Astyanax mexicanus: one gene and its partner. The protein of the gene in region 1 interacts with the protein of each later gene in a pairwise test. Links are inferred from orthologs where the notes say so. Each region holds a gene or a part of one and is shown on either strand. Other genes may lie near its edges.

Evidence for each region. The genes of interacting proteins can lie anywhere in the genome.
Region 2: the proteins of tex11 (region 1) and snx7 interact in binary tests that used the Homo sapiens proteins (3 or more experiments, as listed by UniProt). The two-hybrid records come from large-scale screens. The link is inferred for Astyanax mexicanus from reciprocal best matches to the Homo sapiens genes TEX11 and SNX7.

Annotation. Positions count from the first base shown.
Region 1 is NC_064417.1:48,323,020-48,333,610, reverse strand, and holds the start of tex11 (testis-expressed protein 11), read right to left. Parts: upstream 5,019-10,591; 5' UTR 4,849-5,018; coding exon 4,821-4,848; intron 2,504-4,820; coding exon 2,388-2,503; exon of another isoform or gene 2,284-2,387; intron 1,853-2,283; coding exon 1,768-1,852; intron 1,649-1,767; coding exon 1,569-1,648; intron 1,393-1,568; coding exon 1,312-1,392; intron 1,091-1,311; coding exon 971-1,090; intron 830-970; coding exon 749-829; intron 640-748; coding exon 554-639; intron 297-553; coding exon 239-296; intron 162-238; coding exon 66-161; intron 1-65. Other genes in the region: kdrl (vascular endothelial growth factor receptor kdr-like), read left to right, coding at 10,120-10,183. UniProt on the Homo sapiens protein: Regulator of crossing-over during meiosis. Involved in initiation and/or maintenance of chromosome synapsis and formation of crossovers.
Region 2 is NC_064413.1:37,368,798-37,379,025, forward strand, and holds the start of snx7 (sorting nexin-7), read left to right. Parts: upstream 1-6,202; 5' UTR 6,203-6,334; coding exon 6,335-6,442; intron 6,443-9,628; coding exon 9,629-9,820; intron 9,821-9,920; coding exon 9,921-10,031; intron 10,032-10,228. UniProt on the Homo sapiens protein: Involved in the regulation of endocytosis and in several stages of intracellular trafficking. Together with SNX4, involved in autophagosome assembly by regulating trafficking and recycling of phospholipid scramblase ATG9A.

The sequences.
Region 1 (10,591 bases):
TTAGGCCAATCAACACAAAACAAATATTATCTCTAGAAAATATATGCTGTTTCGAAAAACCATACCTTATTAGCCAGGCTCACAGCATGAAGAGCTTTCTCCTGGTACTTCTGACAGTCTAATTCCAAATAGACAGTAGCAAGGAGTCTCAAGACTTTGGCCTAAAAAGAGAAAATATTGCAATTATCCCATAATTAGTTTCAATGACAATTTGAACTGAACAGCAAATAGAGCTTACTTGCATTTCTGGCCCAGGGGAGTACTTGGGATTCATCTTCCCTATGTCATAGCTCTGACTAAAACAAAACACAGCAAATTAGTGTATGAGCCTGACCATTTTTATAATTCATGACAAGCAAATATTTTTGTATTGCGCAGATTCATATCAAAGTAAATAAAGACACTACTACTAACGACAATAGGAACACACAGATAAGAGGCTGCTGCTTGCTAAAATGAACCATGTGGGGATGGGAAGGGACACACACATTGCTTTTTCTATGGTTACTGATCAAAGTTGCAAATGTACGGTACAGGATAACATAAGTCTCACCTGAGCCAAAAAGAGCTTTCTTCAAGCTTCTTTTGATTATATGTTTCCACTCCGAAGTTGTAGCAGATGAGAGACAAATAGCCAGTCTAAAAGAAATTAAGCTGCTTTAATTACTGTAAAACAATTATTCGTACAAATAAAAACGCAAAGACAAAACGCAAACAAGAAATAATAACATGAAAATAAATCGTATACCTCCTTAGGAAGCCTAAGAAGCATCTCTTTACACCGCTGCATGCAGGACACTGCCTCCTGGTGATTCTCTTGAGCAACTGCCTAAAAGTCAGTCACGCCAAGTGCATTTATGTAAAATATATTCTAAATGTATTATAATATTATTTTAAATTGTTTGCTAGGATTATTACAACTCCAGTCATTCTCTACTACTAAATGCATTACATATAAGCACCATCTTACAGATTCTGCTTGATAAGAGAGAACACGCAGAAGATCTTTCTCTACATCTCCTTTCGGTGTGTTGGTATCAGAAACACCAGCTCCATGGGATGTTAGTCTGCAGTAAAGAGTCTCCAGACTCTGTGAAATCATACAAAACATTTATTATTACTGTACTGGAGGTTATATTTAGGTCAACAACAAACTCAAATCAAAATACAATCAAACCAGATTGTTCTATTAATTTAATTGCACTGTTTCACAAGAAAAAATAATTTGTGCAATGTCATTGTCTGACAATATTCTATATATCTATATCTTTATATCTATATCTATATAGTTGACATGAAGTTCACACTTACACTGACTGCAAGTTTTAAAAAGTCATCGGCAAGCTTAGGGTTTTTACAATCAAGCCATGTTCTCCCTGTCTTACTGGCCATCTGCGACACATAAAAATACAACACACACACACACACACCATAAAGAACTAGCTGAAGTGCAGTGGAAATGTTGCATTAAAAAATTAGACTAAACTAAAAGGAAATATAATTAGTGTTTTCAGAAAAAGTTCTGAATTTCAAAAATAATATTAAATGAAGTGAGAACACAGACAAACCATAATCTGTTTGCGAATAACATTCTCAGGTGGTTCCTCGGTTTCACACACATACAGGAGTTTGCAGGCCACAAGACGCACTGAATCACACAAAATATATCATAACATGTAAGGTAAAATGTCATTAAAGCATCTGTAAACTTACAGAAATAAAGACTGCCTGTAAGAAAATAACATGACATTTTTATAAAACAAAAACCTTTGGCTTTTTGTTGCTCACTAATAACAGAACCAATATTTTTGGTCACAGCCCAGTTCCACAACTGAATAGCACATTCTTCAACCTGCAAATAAAAAACATGTTTATTATTTTTGTTTTGAGCTACTTTCTAAAAATGAGAAACAAGATAATCATGTCCCATTGGGGTCTGTGTAAGGTTTATCAATTTATCAATTTTCAGATTTTTTTATACATGTTTTTCCAATTATCTAGTTTTTCATTCACAGTCAGCATTTCAGCTGAAAAAAACGTTATTGTTCTTCTAATTGTTTTTTTTTTGCCCTATTTTGGTACATAAGTAGGTTGGATTACAGCATCAGACTGGGGGGGGGGATACCAGTAAAACCCCATCTCTATAAGTTAATGTCAGAGAAGATAACAATGTACTTTTTATTAAAAATGCCTTTCTGTTCTTACATATTGTGGTAAACTGTGCCATATCCAGTAATTTGGTAACCTTTATCTCTTTATATTTCACAAGACATCATAACTTACTTCAAATTATTGTCGATATAAAGTCCACTTTTAAAATTCCGTGGATTTTCAGCTTTAGACTTATGATCTAGCTAAATAAAATTTGTTCTCAAATAGACCGGCACCTCTGTATCTTGAATTTTAGTGGGTTTCTCAAGCGACTGAACTTTTTCAAACAGCGTCTCAATCAAGTCGTTCACACTGTCATCACTCTGTCTGTTAAGAAGACTCTCTGCCAGACCTAAGAGAGAAAAACAGATTATATTGTTGGTAGTTAGGTAGTTCATACAGCACGACATGTTTGGCTGTTTATTTTGGTTGAATTGAGTTGTCTACATTACCAATGTAACTATAATTGGTTTCTCTAGTCATAGCTTATATATTGTGGTAGGTTTACTAATGATTACTACATAACTAAGTAACTAACTTTATGTACCTTAATGTAGCTAGCTACATTTGAAGGCAAACACTTTTTTCCAGCCTTTTTCTTTTACTGGAATAATATTTAAGCGTGGGTTAACTCTACATTAATTTAAGTAGTTCGCTATCTAGTAATTGCTCCACCACTAGTACAAAGTAGCTAAGTCAAGATAACTAGTTAGCTGACTAACAAATCCTTCAGCACAAGTTAGATGGTAAGCTAGCTAGTAATTCCTTCACCACTAGTTAAAACAAGTCAGTTAGCTTTTTTCCAAGTTAGAGGCCTCAAGGGATGCTTTTTAATTTTACTGTAATAATTTTCTTTATCGTTTAGCGTGGGTATCTGTACTTTAACTTAAGTAGTTTTCTAGTTAGTGATTCCTCCAACACTAGTTAAAAGTAGATTAGTTAAGGTAACTAGTAAGATAGCTAACTAGTAAGTTAGCTAATTCCTCCACCACAAATTAGTTGGCAAGCTTGCACTTCCTCCACCACTAGTTAAAATTGTCAATTAGCAAACTAGCTAGCAATTCTTCCACCACTATTTAAAACAAAGTTGGTTAGCTACGTATTTCTCCACTGCTATACAAAACTAAACTAGTACTTTAAAACTAAAAAGTGAACTAGTTAACCTAGCTAGTAATTTTTTTTACCAATAGTTAAAACAGTCAGTTAATGCTAGCTAGATAAAAGTCGTATTTCCTCCACCAACAGTTAAATTTAATCAGTTGGATAGAAATTCCTCGACCACTAGTTAAAACAAAGTTACTAAGCTAGGAATTTCCCCACCACTAGTTAAAACTAAGTTAGTTAACCTAGCTATTAATTTATCCACCACTAATTAAAATTGTCAGTTAATGCTTGCCAGTAATTCATCCACCAATAGTTAGTTAAATTTAATTTTACTTAAAATTGTCAGTTAGGGCTAGCTAGCTAAAGCTAGTAAGTTATTTCCTCCGCCAATAGTTAAATTTAAGTCAGATAGCTAGTAGTTAATTCCTCAACCACTAGTTACAACAAAGTTAGTTAGCTAAGAATTTCCAGACCACTAGTTAAAATTAAGTTAGTTAACCCAGTTAGTAATTCCTCCACCGCTAGTTATAATTGTCAGTGAATGTTAGCTAGCTAGAAATTCATCTACCACTAATTAAAACTAAAGTTAAGTTAGATATCCAGGAATTTCTTCACCACTAGTTAAAATTATTATCAACCAATAGATAACTTAGTGTAATTTAGGTCAGTTACTAGTTAGCTAAGCTAGGCTAGCTAGTAATTTCTGGACCAATAGGTTAGTTAACTACCTAGCTAGATAGTATTTCCACCACCAATAGTTAAATTTAATTCAGATAGCTAGTAGTTAATTCCTCAACCACTATTTAAAACAAAGTTAGTTAGCTAGGAATTTTCCCACCACTAGTTAAAACCAAGTTAGTTAACCTAGCTATTAATTTATCCACCACTAATTAGAATTGTCAGTTAATGCTTGCCAGTAATTGATCCACCAATTTTCAGTTAATGCTAGCTATCTATTAAACCTAGTAAGTTATTTCCTCCACCTATAGTTAAATTTAAGTCAGATAGCTAGTAGTTAATTCCACTAGTTAAAATTAAGTTAGTTAACCCAGTTAGTAATTCCACCACTAGTTACAATTGTCAGTGAATGTTAGCTAGCTAGTAATTTATCTACCACTAATTAAAACTGAGGTTAAGTTAGATATCCAGGAATTTCTTCACCACTAGTTAAAATTATTATCAACCAATAGATAACTTAGTGTAATTTAGGTCAGTTACTAGCTAGCTAAGCTAGGCTAGCTAGTAATTTCTGGACCAATAGGGTTAGTTTACTACGTTACCTAGCTAGATAGTATTTCCACCACCAATAGTTAAGTCAGATAGCTAGCTAGCTAAGTTAGTTATTCTTTGCTAGTTAAAACTAAGTTAGTCAGCTAAAGAAATAAAACACAAGAACTACATAGTTAGTAAGTTAGCTCTAAATTTCTCCACCACTAGTTAAAATTAAGCCAGTTAGGTTAACTAGAATTAGCTAGCTAGCTAGCGGCTAACAAGCTAACGCTAACTCACAATAATTACCTCAGATAAGCAAACGGGGATTTTAGTCTTTTGAAGACAATTCTTACCTTTCACATTAATAAGAACGTCCTCCATCTCAGTTTTACAATGTTTATACCTTTATAACATGTATTTGAACCCAGGCAACCTCGTATCTATACTGTTTTTAGGACAAAACCTCGTTAAAATCCCGTCTTCTCTCACAAAAACTCACACAACTAATCAGCTAACGTGTTGCGCGAGCCTAAAGGGACAGTGAAGACATAAAGCCTGTAACGTTAGAATTATAAAGACAGGGTTTTTTTTACAAACATAAATTGTAATAAATATGATAAAAAGTAAATAATAATAATAATAATAAAAAAGTAAAGATAAATAAATAAAACAAATAAATCAAAATAGAATTGAGTTAAACAATACAGGGGAATTTCCAATTACTTTGAAAATAATGTTGGTAAAGTTTTTTTTCTCCAGAAATTTAAAATTAGCAACATCAGAGCTAATTTACAACACACACATTATACATTATTATTGACTATTTGTAACACAAAGCTTTCACTATTATTAAATCAGACAAAATTAGACAGTTTTTTATGGATTTTCTGATTACATGAGGAAGACCAGGATATAAAATTATTTGATACAAAGATGGAATATATGGGTCTACCTGTTTGTTCCTTATTTTCATGCATATAGTGCATTGCTAAGAAAATAATTAAATTGCTTGAAAATATATTCCTTTTTTTAATTCCTCATAATTTTTAAAACATATATTTTAAAAAAATGTTTACATTTATTATGTGTAAAATTCTGAATAAATCTAAAGACATTTGCCATAGTCTTTACATGTGCTTATAAAGGCAAAAATATATTTAGTAAATGGCGGTAAATCACAAAATGACACCAATACATTTGGTAAATATGCTTATAAGAAATACCTTTGACATTATTTAGTAGTAATATTTCCAACAAATATTCTTCCCCTGTAAGACAGCAAGCTTATTTACTGGAGGTGCAGTCCTGCTATATGACCACTAGATGGTGTCTTACACAAGACATATGAATCACTTAATAAAAGATTCATAGACAGAAAGAGCAAATTACTATTATAATTATTATAATTTTGCTGTATTGTAAAGTTTTGCTGTATTGCAAATATTATTTGTTAATAAGAAAAAAATCAAACATAATCCTTTATTAGTTCTTTATTAGACATACAAAGGAAAAAGTGATTACAAACTAAGAATTAAGATATAAACCTTAGTAGGTACGTTTCCTAAACATGATACTTTGATTTAAATGGAAAATCTGCATTTAAAATGCTGTTTAGTTCAAGACATAGCTTAATTGCTGTCTGGGATTCCCCTGTAAATAAATAAAAAAATAAACATTGATGAAGAATTTTACAAAAACTGCATATGACAAAACAAACAACGGGTGTTTAAAACAAGAAAAACAGTAATTCACCAGTTTTGCACGATTCTTTCTAAATAAAGGCATATTGACCAATCATGGTCTATTCTAAGCCACATTTAACATAAAGGTTTTTGTTGCTACAGCAGACATCTTTGTTTTAACAGGGAGCGAGGTTTATTGTTGACCTGAAGGAAAGAGCTCAAGCTGCGCACACAGAACTACTCGGACCCTCTTATTGTTTTCCGCACACTAGATTAAAAAAGAAACGTCTTAAAAGCCCAGGCCTTTCAGCCCTTGGTTTCCAGTAATTGTTCCCACTCGAGTCTTATCTAGCTGCCCTCCTGGCCCACGGAGAATGTGCACCCTTCTGAAGACTTGCCTGTAAAAGAAAAAAGAAAGAAAGAAATGTATATGAGTTGTGATGTGAAATAAAGTCCTCGGGTTTACTTTAGAATGGAATAAAGTAACAAATAGGACAAAAGAGCTATTTTAAAAACCTATTTCATCATTTTATGCATCATTTACTTCATAAAACAAGACAGGTTGGGACAGTATGAATAATAAAAAAAGTGCTGAGTTTCTTACATTTAGGTTTTTTGTCATTTGTTTTATTGGAGACAGAAAGCTAAATATTTTGTTTAATTTGTTAATTTACAACTTTTGTACATCAATTCATGCATTGCAGGCCTGCAACACATTCCAAAAAAAGTTGGGATGAAAAATCAACACTCAAAAGATTCTCTATTCTCTATTCTCTATTTAGGACAGGTCCGGTCTGCAGGCAGGCCAGAACAGTACCCATACCTTCTTGTTCTGAAGCCATACTTTTGCAGTGTGTGCAACATATGGTTTTGCATGGTCTTGTTGAAGAAGAAATACATAGAGGTCTTCTCTGGAGAAGATGTCATCATAAGGCAGCATATGTTGCTCAAAGATCTCCATTAACTACATTTCTACATTAATGCTGCATTGCAGAGGTGTACTGATCAAAACCCAAACCATGACAGACCCTGGCTTCTGGCCTTGTTTCTGATAAAAGTCTGGATGGTCCTTGGATTGCATCCATTTCTTCACACAAAAAAATAGAGGTACGATATAAGTCTTTTCTTTTGCTCAAAGTGCACTTTTTATCATTTCATAATTGTGTCCTATTAAGGTATAATATTGGTCTTTACAGGGTCAGATGTTCCCTCTGAAGCATAAAGTCTTTCCTAACAGCAGGAAGTACAGATTTGTACCATTTAACCAGCTAAAAGGTACATTTGGTATTCTGTATCACTGTACTAATAAATAATATATATTTTAATTACACATTTTTCATTTTTAAAGCCAGACAATTTTGGACAATCAATTCTCGACACATATTCAGTTGATGATAATGTTTATAATCTTTATAATCTTTACTGGTACCAAAAACATGGGTCCAAAAAAGACTATTACTAAAAGGTATTCTGTTGTACCTTAATATAAGGTACAGCCCCAGCGACAAGCTTTGTACTTTTTTGAGTGTTCCAAAAAAGATCTGGAGGTTTCCACTGTGAGATGATCAATCCCAGAAGCCTCATAGCCCAGAGAAGTTAACACATTTGTTAATATAAGGCTTTGATTTGAACTGTAATGTTTTAAGAGAGGAGACACACCCAGTGTAAGTCAGTGAATCAGAACTCTTATGCCTGACAATCTTATGAACAACCCCTCCACTAAAGTATATCCATGGATATGTCCCTATTTGTGATAAGGTGAACTTGCTGGACGTTTCAAAATCATGGGAGGTTCCCAAATGTTTTTAGGCCTAGATATAGCATAGCTGTGTGTCCTGTTTTCCAAAGTTAAAAATAAAGCAGCAAATATTTGTCCTGTGGATATTTACCTCGATAGCACGAGTAAGACAATGCCTGTTTACCTTTGTACCCAGATATTTTAGGGAGGTGCAGCTATGTTTATCTGTTTATCTCGAGAAGGACATTTGGGGAAAACAGTCATGTGTAAAGTCACTTGTTTTAACACTATATCAGATCAACTGGCAGTGTTTTTAGTCTTTAGTATGTTCTTTGGACCTGAAATAAACAATGAACATCAGTAGTCAGTCATAGAATATGTTAGTTTTTTTCTCTCTGACCAAGCTAGACAGTTAAAGATAAGTAATAATAGAAGTAATATAAATAGAAATATATTAATTTTAGATTTATTTGAAATATATAATAGAAAAAAAAAACTGAAATTCCACGTAAATCAGTTGTAAATCCAATATTATTGATAGATAAAAGTAAAATTACAGAGATCTGGATTTTGAATTTAGATATGAATAATATTATTGCTACTAAATTTAAAACAAAACAATTTTAGATATCTAAAGTATATTATAGAGATCTAAAATTCCACATATCCTAAAGACACATGATCATAACTGCAGTATATTAAAGATATATTGACCTAGTCAGGATTCAGATAGATCAGATAGATCTGGACCTGGACTGAAACCTGGACCTGAGAATTACAGTGGAGATAAATGGTAATGATATAAATGGTAAAATATGACTAGAAAAACTAACATTATGGCTATATCATCCCAAAAATATGTCTAGTCAGAATGTCAGAATGGATTTATAGATACAGTACCATTCAAAATTTTGCACACTCTTTCTCACTAAATGTTTTCTTTTATTTCTTAAACAATTACTGTGTGTATACAGCTCTGGAAAAAATAAGAGACCTCTTCAATTTATGAATCAGTTTCTCTAATTTTGCTATTTATAGGTATAAGTTTGAGTAAAATGAACATTGTTGTTTTATTCTAGAAACTACAGACAACATTTCTCCCAAATTCCAAATGAAAATATTGTCATTTAGAGCATTTATTTGCAGAAAATGAGAAATGGCTGAAATAACAAAAAAGATGCAGAGCTTTCAGATCTCGAATAATGCAAAGAAAACAAGTTCATATTCATAAAGTTTTAAGAGTTCAGAAATCAATAAATATTTGGGGGAATAACCCTGTTTTTTAAACAGTTTTTATGCATCTTGGCATGTTCTCCTCCACCAGTCTTACACACTGCTTTTGGATAACTTTATGCCTTTACTCCTTGTGCAAAAATTCAAGCAGTTCAGCTTGGTTTGATGGCTTGTGATCATCCATCTTTCTCTTGATTATATTACAGAGGTTTTTAATTTGGTAAAATCAAAGAAACTCATCACTTTTTAACTGGTCTCTTATTTTCTCCAGAGCAGTATGTGATATTATTGATAGTAAATGATAAAAAACGCTTTACAGATGTTTTGAATGTGAAATTTACCAGTATAAACTCGTATTACTGGTTTGATTTGAGACTTAAAACGGATTGCTATGATAACACTGAGTGTGTGAGAGTGCCACAGGCTCCCAGTCAGGGCTCAGTGACGTTGCCTCTTCCTTTCAGTATAAAACCCTGGAGCAGGATGGGAGCAGGAGGAGAGCTGCTGCTGCTGCGCTTAGTTAATAGCCTGCTGCCGTCTGTGCAGCTCATTCCCCTGCTTGGAGTCGCAGTGGAGGATATGTGAGACGAACCCTGAGAATCCTGGACTGTTTTTTTGCTTGTTTTTCCTACTTTTCTTATTTTTTGTAATATTCTGATTCGCCAGGAGGAGAATAAAACCACATAGCACCTGCCCAGAGGCGCAGACTGGCTCCTACCCCTTACCTGAAGGAGCGTAAGAGCTGAAAAAGTGTCTGGACACCATGGAATACAAACCTTAACCTTGAAAACAGGCTGTAAGCTACCAACAAGAAGTTCTGTGGCTGCAGGAGCAGCTTATAGCTGCGGTTCATCCATCCACTGTTGGAGGTTATCTCTTCTTCTTGCTGCTGCTGATAGATATAGATAGGCTAGAGGGACCTGGGCTACTGGGTTACTTTGGCTTCTGACTGATTGACTGACTTTTCGTTGGAGTAACATTAGGCTACGGAGGGACGGAATGATTCCCAGAAGATCGGCAGCCTTCATAGCCCTGCTTTTCCAGTGCTTTACCTCCACAAACGGTGAGTCCACTTCTCTGGTTTTCTCTTCTCTCTGCCTGGTTGCTCTGCTGATTGATGCTGGTTCAGCTTCACTCTGAAAACATCTGAATCTGAGACTGATGTCACAAATTTGTATTTAAAGTCATTAAATATTAATTTGTGAAGAGTATTTTAGCTAAATATATATTTTTGTTTCATTTTTGGGCGCTTGTGTGGCTTTAATTCTGGTTGGATGCTCTCTCTCTCTGGAGTTGGCTCAGTCTCTTATTATTAAGGCTGGACAATTTGACAAAAAAAAAAAAAAAAAACATATCCCCATATGCAATAGTGGAAATTGGAGATATATGATAGGCTACAAAATATGATATAATTAAAAATATATTAAAAAAAGATCTTGTTAAAGTATTATTAATATTACTTTAATATATG
Region 2 (10,228 bases), on another chromosome or scaffold:
GCAGAAGCATGGTGTAATGAGTGATCATTAATATGACGTGTACAAGCTTCTAATGATGGTTATAATCAAGCCACAGTTGTTGGATTGGACACCTGGTAGGAATTCAGCAGCAGTCACATTTAAAATGCATTTAGGTGCATGATTGCATCCATATGAAATCCTATGTAATGGTTCCCATCTGAATTCAGGAAATCTCCAGGAGCAAAAAGGATGAAAAATCGTAAAAAAAAGAGAGATAATAACCAGAGCACACGTCTGGGGGGAAAGGAAATAAATAAATGTGTGCTTTGCAACTGCGCATCCGCCAGTGGTGAGAGATGCTAGTCTGCATGTGGTTTTAATTAGAAAGCAAAGCTTTTTGACAGCAAATTGATTTTTAATTGTTCACTTCTGCACTCACTCCAGGTGGCTCGGAATCATCTTCATTTGCTGTTTTACGCGCTTGATGCAGGGTATAAAAACACCCCACTACACAAGATGGTGAAGACCTGCCAGCTATTTGTTGCACCAAATCGCACAGATTCCACGTTTCAGGGATATTTGGGGATATTTGGGGGTATTTAGACATAATTGTCTGAAATGCCTCCTCTAGCCAGAGTCTGCGCTCTGAAACAGCAGCAATAAGGGATTTTCGAAAGACGGTCTGCTCGGCCACTCTAATGGCCCTGACAGGAAGGAAATGCAATTTGAAAGGAGCTGATCTATGTAAGCCATTGTTGTGGCATAATGCTGATCTAATTATTAACCACCACTGATGGAGGAACAGTGCTGTGTGGATTTTCGCCGGGGCAGATTTGGGATGATGCCATTGGATCGGTGTTGGGTGCCAGCCTGCTACAGCTAGAGCTGCTTTGAATCTCTGGAGGTTAGGGCCATGACTTTGCTTCTGCCCCATTGCCACTAGTCCCTCTATACCCCAACTGCAAACCAACATCATGAATTAGAGGAGTCAGAAGTGGAGATGTAAAATACAATGCTGGCTACAAATCCTTGTTCAACCTCAATGTTAATTTTTTTGTTTTTTTGCATTATTTTATGCATCACATCTCTGACATGTAACATGAAAATCATGTGAAAAACACTAACTCCAAACCTGCTTGATAAAGAGAAAAGCTGTTTAATTTGTTAAGCAGGGTAATATAACTATGGGCTTAGACTTTTACTGACAGATGTTTGGGTTTTGAGCAATTGCTTTGGGTTTAGAACCATGTGTCCCATCATTCAAAGGTGCTGGAAGTGACATCTCGACTTCTAAGATGCATGAAGAACAAGTAACAAGATCCCAATCAGGTTTAGAGACTATCAGAGAGTAAGCTGTTCCAGACCTCTTTTTAAAAGCAGACTTTGCCTTTTCTGAGGTGCCATTTATCACTCACATTTTGTACAATTAAGGAGCAATTAATGCCCTGTATTGAACGGCTCTCACTAATGCTGGCACTCCATCAAAGCCCAGCACATTGAGCTCTCACTTTAAAACCATCATCAAGAACACATATCTGAAGTGCTGCACTCAGATGGTCGACATAAAACAAAAAAGAGAGGAAAAGGAGAAAAATACAGGGAAAAAGTGATCCTAACATCAGGTTTATATCAATCTCACAGACAAACGATATCAAACGGCAGCAAGACAATACGATTGTGGCGCCTGTGACCTTTTCTGCATTCGGTGCTCTACCAGTCTGGGTTGAGCACAGTAAAGGACTGACCTTTGTAGAATTATTCTAATACTGCCTAATCTGAATTGTTGAAGGATATGCTACTCACGCTTTGTGCAAAAGGTTACACAATCTGTATGGTTGTGGCATCATTCCAAGGACTTCTTATTTGTTGGAGCTTCTGCAGGTATCAACAGTGTGTACCAGCAAGATATTACACCACACTTTCTAATTAGAGTACCTCTGATTGCCTTCCCTCTACATTCATTCAAGTCACTGTGATAAAGACCAATGAGATAGATCTATTAAACACTACAGTCGCTACTTCAGAACTTCCCAGATAACATCTTAATTTAGGTCTTCTTCATTCATATAGAAACCTGGATTTGCTCTAACTCATTACAGCATCATCAATTACAACTAATTGAACAGATTACTGAATTCATTGACTGATGATTGTACATAGTCTATACATGCCTTCACATAAATCTGAACAGGTATCATTCCCAGCTTTGATCAAACTTTAAGCAGAACCAAGCACCACTTCTCTCACTCTTAATACATTGTTTTCTGTATCTAATGCCATGAGTTTCATTATGAAGCTACATCGAGAAACTTATACAAAAACACAGACATGCACAGACCACTAGACAAAACCAGACAGACACACAGACCTGCCACATGAAAACTTTTCATGCCAGATGGCTCTGCTGTGCAGTTGGCTGTGCTACAGTGACATCTTTTGGTGATGCAGATCAACTGCATGACCAAAACAGGTAACAGACCTCATGTAAATATGAGGTTAAAAGTAATATACTAGTGCGGCAAAAAAAAAAAAAAAGTAGAATATCAGTGAAAAGTTGCTTTATTTCAGTAATTCAGTTCAAAATGTGAAACGTGTATAGTATACAGATGTATTACACACAGAATGATCTATCTAATCATTCATGTCTTTTATTGTTGGTGATTATGTCTTACAGCCAAAGAAACCCCAAAATTTGAACCATCACTGATTGAGGAAACTTCACACTAGACCCTAAGCAGTTTGGATTGTGTGTCTCTCCACTCTTCCTCCAGACTCTGGTCTCTTGATTTTCAAATGAAATGCTGCTGGTGTTGGTCCACGGTGTTATATCAAGTCCAAAGTCAGTGCAGTGTTTTCCTGGAAAATCTTACAGCACTTCATGCTTCCCTCTGCTCACAACATTTATGGAAACGCAGATTTCATTTTCCAGCAGGACTTGACACACTGCCCACACTGCCAAAAGTACCAATTGGTCTTATAATATATAATATTCAAATTTTCTGAGACCCTCATTTTTGGGGTTTCAATGGCTGTAAGCCATAAGGATCAACGATAAAATAAACAAATGCTTAAAATAGATCACTCTGTATTAATACATCCATATAATATGAGTTTTGCATTTTGAACTGAATTCCTGAAATAAAGCAACTTTTCATTGATATTCTATTTTTTTAGATGCACTAGTAAATAAAATTGTTTACAGGATATAAGGCAGTTTCCATCAAAGCAGACTTTATTATAAAGACAAATCAACTCAATATTATAAATTCAACATTTAGTGGATCTGTACTCTACATAGTTAATTGTTCTTTGTTTCTGTCTTTAAAAGAGTTGCACTTCTTTGAAGCTAATAAAATAAAGGCTGCATAATATTGGAAAAAGTATGACAATTATTTTCACATTTGATATTAATCATGATTAATGAAAAAATAGTTAATGTACTTTAATGTACAAGTGTACAGCAATTTATTTTGGTACAAGCTGCTTAAGCTGCTCAGTTGAATCAGGGTTTGAGTTCTCCTCCACATTGCTTCCTTGTTATACACTGGATAGGGAGTAGTTATGTAAATACAAATATGGCTTTATGTTTGACAAGACAGTACATGCCCACACACAATGTGAAAAATATTACAGAATTAAAGGAAAATAAAAATTAACGATAAGGGAAAGACTGCGTCAATTACAGTTTGTGAATGTAAATTGTGATTGATTTTTAATTACTTGCCCAGCCCTCTATACACATTGTATTTTTCACCAGAAGTCAGCAATCCAACACGTGATAATATTAAAGATTCAATCCATTTTTTTAAAACAATGGAGTAAAATATACAACACTGAACAGATATAGTATAATATATCATGGAAAATAAGAGAACATTGAGAATTTCCCTTTTGCATCAAACAGCAAAAAACTTTTGACATATAGGCTAACAAAACCTCATGTAACATTATACATCTAGCAATGTGACTACTGAAAATATACACGTTGTAATGGTGATGCTAAAACAATATATTGCGCAGACCTCATTCAAATTACTTGAACTCTAACTCAATTATATTTCCAAAAGGGATACATTCATTTAGACCTCATTTACATTCCTAAAGGTCATGAAAGTTTCTTACTTCTCTAAACCTTTTTCATTTCAATTAAAAATACAATCAACTTTATGTCAATGTAAATGAAACTGCCCATAACTTCCAGAAGTCCATTAGCCTTCGCAACACACACCTCCACAGCACAGGAAAGCATATTGTGACTCATTATGTTACATTTTAAATTAGTTACGTTTTCATGATTTTGAAATATAGATGCTGTTTGGCTCCATACTTCCACTTTTAACGGAGTATGATTTTTTATATGCAGCTCAATTTCCATTAGGCTCTCTGTACTTTTCCACCTGTTTATAAATGAGCATTCTACATTTAAATACTTAAACTCTGATAAAGTTTTCTTTCTAAGACATTTAGGTTTTACCTTCACGTATATTTTGGTGATATAATTTGTGCTGTTGTTGTAAGTAGAGCTCTTGATTTTACACATTAAACCAGTTTTGACAAGTTACTAATATGTACAGTACCAGTCAAAATTTAGTGTTTCCCATTATTTTCAAAAGTTCTGCAGGTCATGCAGAAAAACATATGGAGTAATTTAGTAATTAAAAAGTGCTAAACAAAACAGAATATGGTTATATTCTGGTTATATTCTAATAATGTAGATACTTCAAAGTAGACACCCATTGCTGAGATAACAGCTTTGCAGATCTTGGAATTTTCTCAGTCAGCTTTATGAGGCTGAGTCACCTGTTGTGGCTTTCAATTAACAGCTGTGCCTTGTCAAGAGTTAATTACTTGAATTTCTTGCCTCTTAATGTGTTTGAGCATCAGTTGTAAAGTTGTGAAGAGGTAGAGCTGGTTAACAGTGAATACTGTTGAATAACGTTTTAATCCATATTATAGCAAGAACTACTCTACAAAGTAAAGAAAAAAACTACTTTAAGAAATAAAAGTCAAGAACTTTGGAAGTATCCTCGAGTGCAGTCGTAAAGACCAACAAAATGTGATGAATCTTTCTGGCTCTCCCCAGGAAAGCAAATACATTTTAGGCCATTTTTTTCAAATGTACTTAATATATTTTAAACATTTTACATATGTTTCATTCTGCGTAGGTTTTCATTTAAGATCAGTTTTTCTGCACCTTTTTTTCATGTTTATACAAAAATACTACTTTTACATGTTTTTATTCGGGTACTTTTACTCTATAGTAATTTTTGTATTATCACTTTTGTCATTGACATGTAGTTTAAACATACAGCTCTGGAAAAAAATAAGAGACCACTTCAGTCTCTGAATTAGTTTATTTGATTTTGCTCTTTTTTGGTATATGTTTAAATAAAACTGACATTGTTGTTTATTCTATAAACTACGGACAAAGTTTCTCCCAAATTCCAAATAAAAATATTGTCATTTAGAGCATTTATTTGCAGACAATAAGAAATGGCAGAAATATCAAAATGATGCAGAGCTTTTAGACCTCAAATAATGCAAAGAAAACAAGTTCATAATCATAAAGTTTTGGTTCAGAATGGTTTAGAAATCAATATTTGGTGGAACAACAATGGTTTTTAATCATAATTTTCATGCATCTTGGCTTGTTCTCCTCCACCGGTCTTACACACTGATTTTGGGTAACTTTATGACGCTCCTGGTGCAAAAATGTAAGCAGTTCAGCTTGGTTTGATGGCTTGTGATCATCCATCTTTTGGGATCATCCATTTTTTTTATTTGGTAAAATCAAAGAAACTCATAATATTTAAGTGCTTTCTTTTTTTCAGAGCTGTAGAATGTTGGTGATTGCTGTGCTGCATTTACTGTACTCTGTACTACTAAGTTACCTCTCACTGTTGTTCTACAGTGAAGGGAGCATGTTTTTGTTTAGTGGGTTTAATTTTCCTTAAGCTCTAGAATGTTTTGGAAAGCTTTCAACTGAAGTATCAACAACAGGCTACGGACGGTGCATTATGTGAATGTGGGTTTACTAACTAGTTATTTTTATTAGAAACACACAGGGCGAACCCGGGTCTACCCCAGCAGGCCGGGCTACTTTTCCAGTTTGTCCACCTGAACTTTTTCTCTCTCTCTGTGTGTATAGCTCTATCTATCTACTCACTCAGCCAGGCCTTCCTCTCCACTGCAGATTCAGCTCTTCTTTCCTGAAATGGTATTTCCGATTCTGCGCACTCTGCTGCCCCTGCCTGTCTGCCCGCCTGCCTGCCTGCCTGCCAGCCCGAGTTTCAGAGTTTCACTCTGGCGGAAAAGTTTGCATCATGATCAGTGAAGTGATCTGCTGATCTGAGAGAAAGGAGAGATTTGAGCCATGATGAGCGGGACGGTGGTCGACAGCGGCAGTCCCACTGCTGCAGTCCCGGATGAACTCTCAGGACAAATACTGGACGAGGACGAGGATTTTGAGGTTTTCTGTAAGGTAAAAAAACTCGCTGTCTCAGAGCTTGTGGAGCAGGAGAGGAGCTAGCCTCACTGAGACCACAGAGATAAATAGTGTGATGATGGCTGCCGCTACGTGGTCTGTCTGTCTGTGTGTTCATGTGTATGTGTAACTTATATAACGTTATAGCAGATAAACTGAATTGTGTAAAATTGTGTTTGAAGCGGTTGAGTTTGAGCTAGCTTAGCTAATTCTATCTAACTTCAAACTAAGCTCAAACTAAGTTAGTTGGAGTGAGTGTGCAAAAGTGGACACTCCCAGCATCCAGTCAGTTCAGTCTGTAGCCTAACTATAACAAATGAGAGCTCTCTCTATACAAACAAATACATGCTATCTAATACTAATACACAGTTTAGATAATAAAAAATAAAGGAAAATACCTTATTATCATTGTTAATGTTTGTCGCCGCCGCGTTGTTTTCCGTGTTTACGTTTAGTGTTGGGGTCCAAAGGTCAGAAATCAGCTGAGGTTATTGTTATTATACCAAACCCTAACTAACTTACAGCTTTAGCTAATTCTCTACACCGTTTATCTGTGTCTGAAACACAAGAAATGCTGACTTAACCTGTCAATTACCCTAACCTGTCTCACTCAGCGTTAGTTAACCTAGTTAACGTTAGCTATGAGGGAGTGTAGTAATGATTTAAGTCTCTGTAACCGGATTAAAATAGCTGCTACCTAACTATATATAAATACGTCCCAGCGTTGCTAGGGTTACAGACCGGTCACAGCTAGATATGAGTGTTATTTCTGTTGCTATTAGCCATTAGCATTTCAGCCCAATCAAATAAAAGATTAACCTAAGCTAGTAAGTTAGTTAGCTAAGCTAGCTAGCTTAGGTCAGTTCCATTTTTATAGCTTAGGAATGATCAATTTGAGGCAAAATATTGAAATAAAATATTGTGTGTACAACTTAATTATATGATTTTGTCAATTTGGCATAGTCAAAAACTGTTTTTCATCCATTTTTCATTTCTGCCCAACACAAAAAAAGTAAACTCTGTAATATGATTTTGTTCTGTTTTCCATTTAACGTTACTTATCTTGGAACAAATGTATGTAGCTAGGTTTAAAACATCATATTTTTGTTACAAAGTGCAAAAATGAAAAAAATGTTTTTCAATATTTCAGACTGTGAGGGTGCAGAATTTGGAAACTTGAAAAATGGAAAAAATATATATATTTTTCTTCTTTGTTATGTCAAACATAAAAAAATAAATAATAAATGTTACCCTCAATATTTTATTTTCAAATGTAGCCTCGAAAGGTCAGAAAATAAATCTGATAAGTGTTACAGTGACATAGCTGACCTAGATAACTGAATTTTGTTTTCAGAACGTTTGTGTAATGTTTAACATGTTTAGAGTGCTCCTTTAACATTCATTTGTCAGGGTCAGGGACCTTAATGCTTTTAGAATATTTCATTAATATAATTGTTGTAACAATGTTTTTCCTAATGCTGGCAAATGTTTAGAAGAGTTACATTTTAGAGTAATATTTAAGAGTAACATTTGCTAAATAGGTTATTATTGTAACATGCAAAATGCAAGGTTAGGTAACCTAAATTTTTTTGGTATTTTATTTATCTTTTTTTGGGGGGAGGAGTGTTTTCTCCTAACCTTCAGAAAACCTTGGACATTGCTGAGCAGTTTGTTTAATAATTCCTTGTTTTAGGACCTCCTGAAATCTGCTGACAGCAGTGGAGTTTGTTTTGACAGGAAGCTTCCATGATAGGAGGAGCAGTGAGGCTATGCAGTAGAGGTGTGCCAAAAAATCGATTCACATAAGAATCTTGATTCTCATTTACTACGATTCAGAATCGATTTAAAATGTCCCAAAATCGATTCTGAGGGGCGGGTTTTAGACTGATTTTGGGCTGGGTATTTTTGTTGGACCTGGCAACCCTGGGGATAGCGCTTGTCCTTTCAAACGGAGATCTTCCAGACACACACAGAGCGTAGGTGTTTGAGAATCACCGGTAAGATGGCAGAACAAGCACTATATTACATTAGATTAACGTGTAGTTTCAATGTTTTATGGCAGAATGCTTCATAACAAGCATAAAAAAGATCGCTAGTAGTTAGTTTCAGTAACTGTTAGCTAGCTAACTAGCTAACTTTCCAGTTCCACCTTAAATAACGCTACAGGTGGCAGCGGGCTGCAGCATTTAAGGCGGAACGGAAAAATACAATAAGCTAATCAGAGCTAATTTCAGCTCCTCATCACAGAGGAATTAAGGAATGGACCATATGAATTAATTTCTCCACCTCCTGCCCCCTTTCTGAAGAAATACAACGACCTTAAATTAACTAGTTAATCAGCAGCTGCTCCTGAACTTTAGCGCTCCACTGCTATCATCACATCAGCCCAGCAGCGTCACCTACACACCACCGCTAGTAGCCTGGTAATAAAGCAGTGTTATTTATTATTTATTTATTGTTCATTAACGTCATTGTGATATCCCAGTGATTCCTCTGTCACTGAGGACCCACATTCCTGCACATTTTATTGTTTTTGTAACACATTACCTGCTCCAGGACCAGTGTATATTATGGAGGGTTTTTTTTCAATAAGATTCATAAGCCAGAAGCAGAAATTTTTATAATTCAAATCGTTTTGAATCAAAAATCGATTTTGAATCGAATCGTGGCCCCCAAAATCGGAATCGAATCGAATCGTGAGATAGTAAACGATTCCCACCCCTACTATGCAGGCCTCTGCTTTTCCTCACAGATCTGACCTATCTATCTGAGAGTTTGGATAAAATGAGAAATATTTGCATGAGTCTCTGATTGAATGGTGATAAGGCAGTAGGCTTTGCTGGGAAACTCTGATCAGGATACACAGACAAAACACACTGGCACTACTACAGCATGAATGATTTTAATTTTTTGACTGAGTCTTCACAAACTGCTTTTGCAGTCAAAGAGCGCAATAAATGCTTAATTAAGAAGTGTTCTGCAATAAAGAGATGCACAGCTTATGACCAAATCCAAAATAGTAATAGCTTGTCACTTAGTTAATAAGTGCAGGAAGAGTACAAATGCTGCAATGTAAAATCAATGTCAGTGTTCTGATGTCCATGTGAGCTATAGAGTGATTTTTTTAGAGCCCAGTTTTGTCTCTCAAACCCAATTTTGTCTGTTTTTCTTGTCTTGTTGTAGGATTCAACCTTCACGGACGGAGGCTCTTTGAATGCCTCCATGCAAACCTCCCCTGGCTCAATGGTCAATCAGTACAAGTTTGAGGAGGAGGAAGAGCAGCCTGACACTAAAGACATTTTCGTCACAGTCGATAACCCTGAAAGCCATGTGACTGCCATTGAGACTTTTATTACATACAGGGTTTTGACCAAGGTACATCACAAACCACACTCTGCAGATTAGTGCTTGAAAAAAGGATTCAACTTCATTTACCATCTAAATGCTTAAAATGTTTTTCTCTCTCTGATATTAGACCACCCGTAGTGAGTTTGACTCCAGTGAGTATGAAGTCCGCAGGCGCTACCAAGACTTCTTTTGGTTAAAAAGCAAGCTGGAGGAGGCTCATCCCACGCTTATTGTTCATGTAAGTGATCTAGAGATGAAGGCATGCAATCTTTCCTCTCATTTGCAAATGCAGCCATTGTATGTATGTATTCGCATTTCAGGCTTCTATCTAGATATGTTAAAATGTGATTTAACTGATTTAAGAGGTGCTAAGTTCTATTTAAATAGAACTTGTTTTTTATGTGCTTTATATACTGTCACTTTCAAAAAACAATA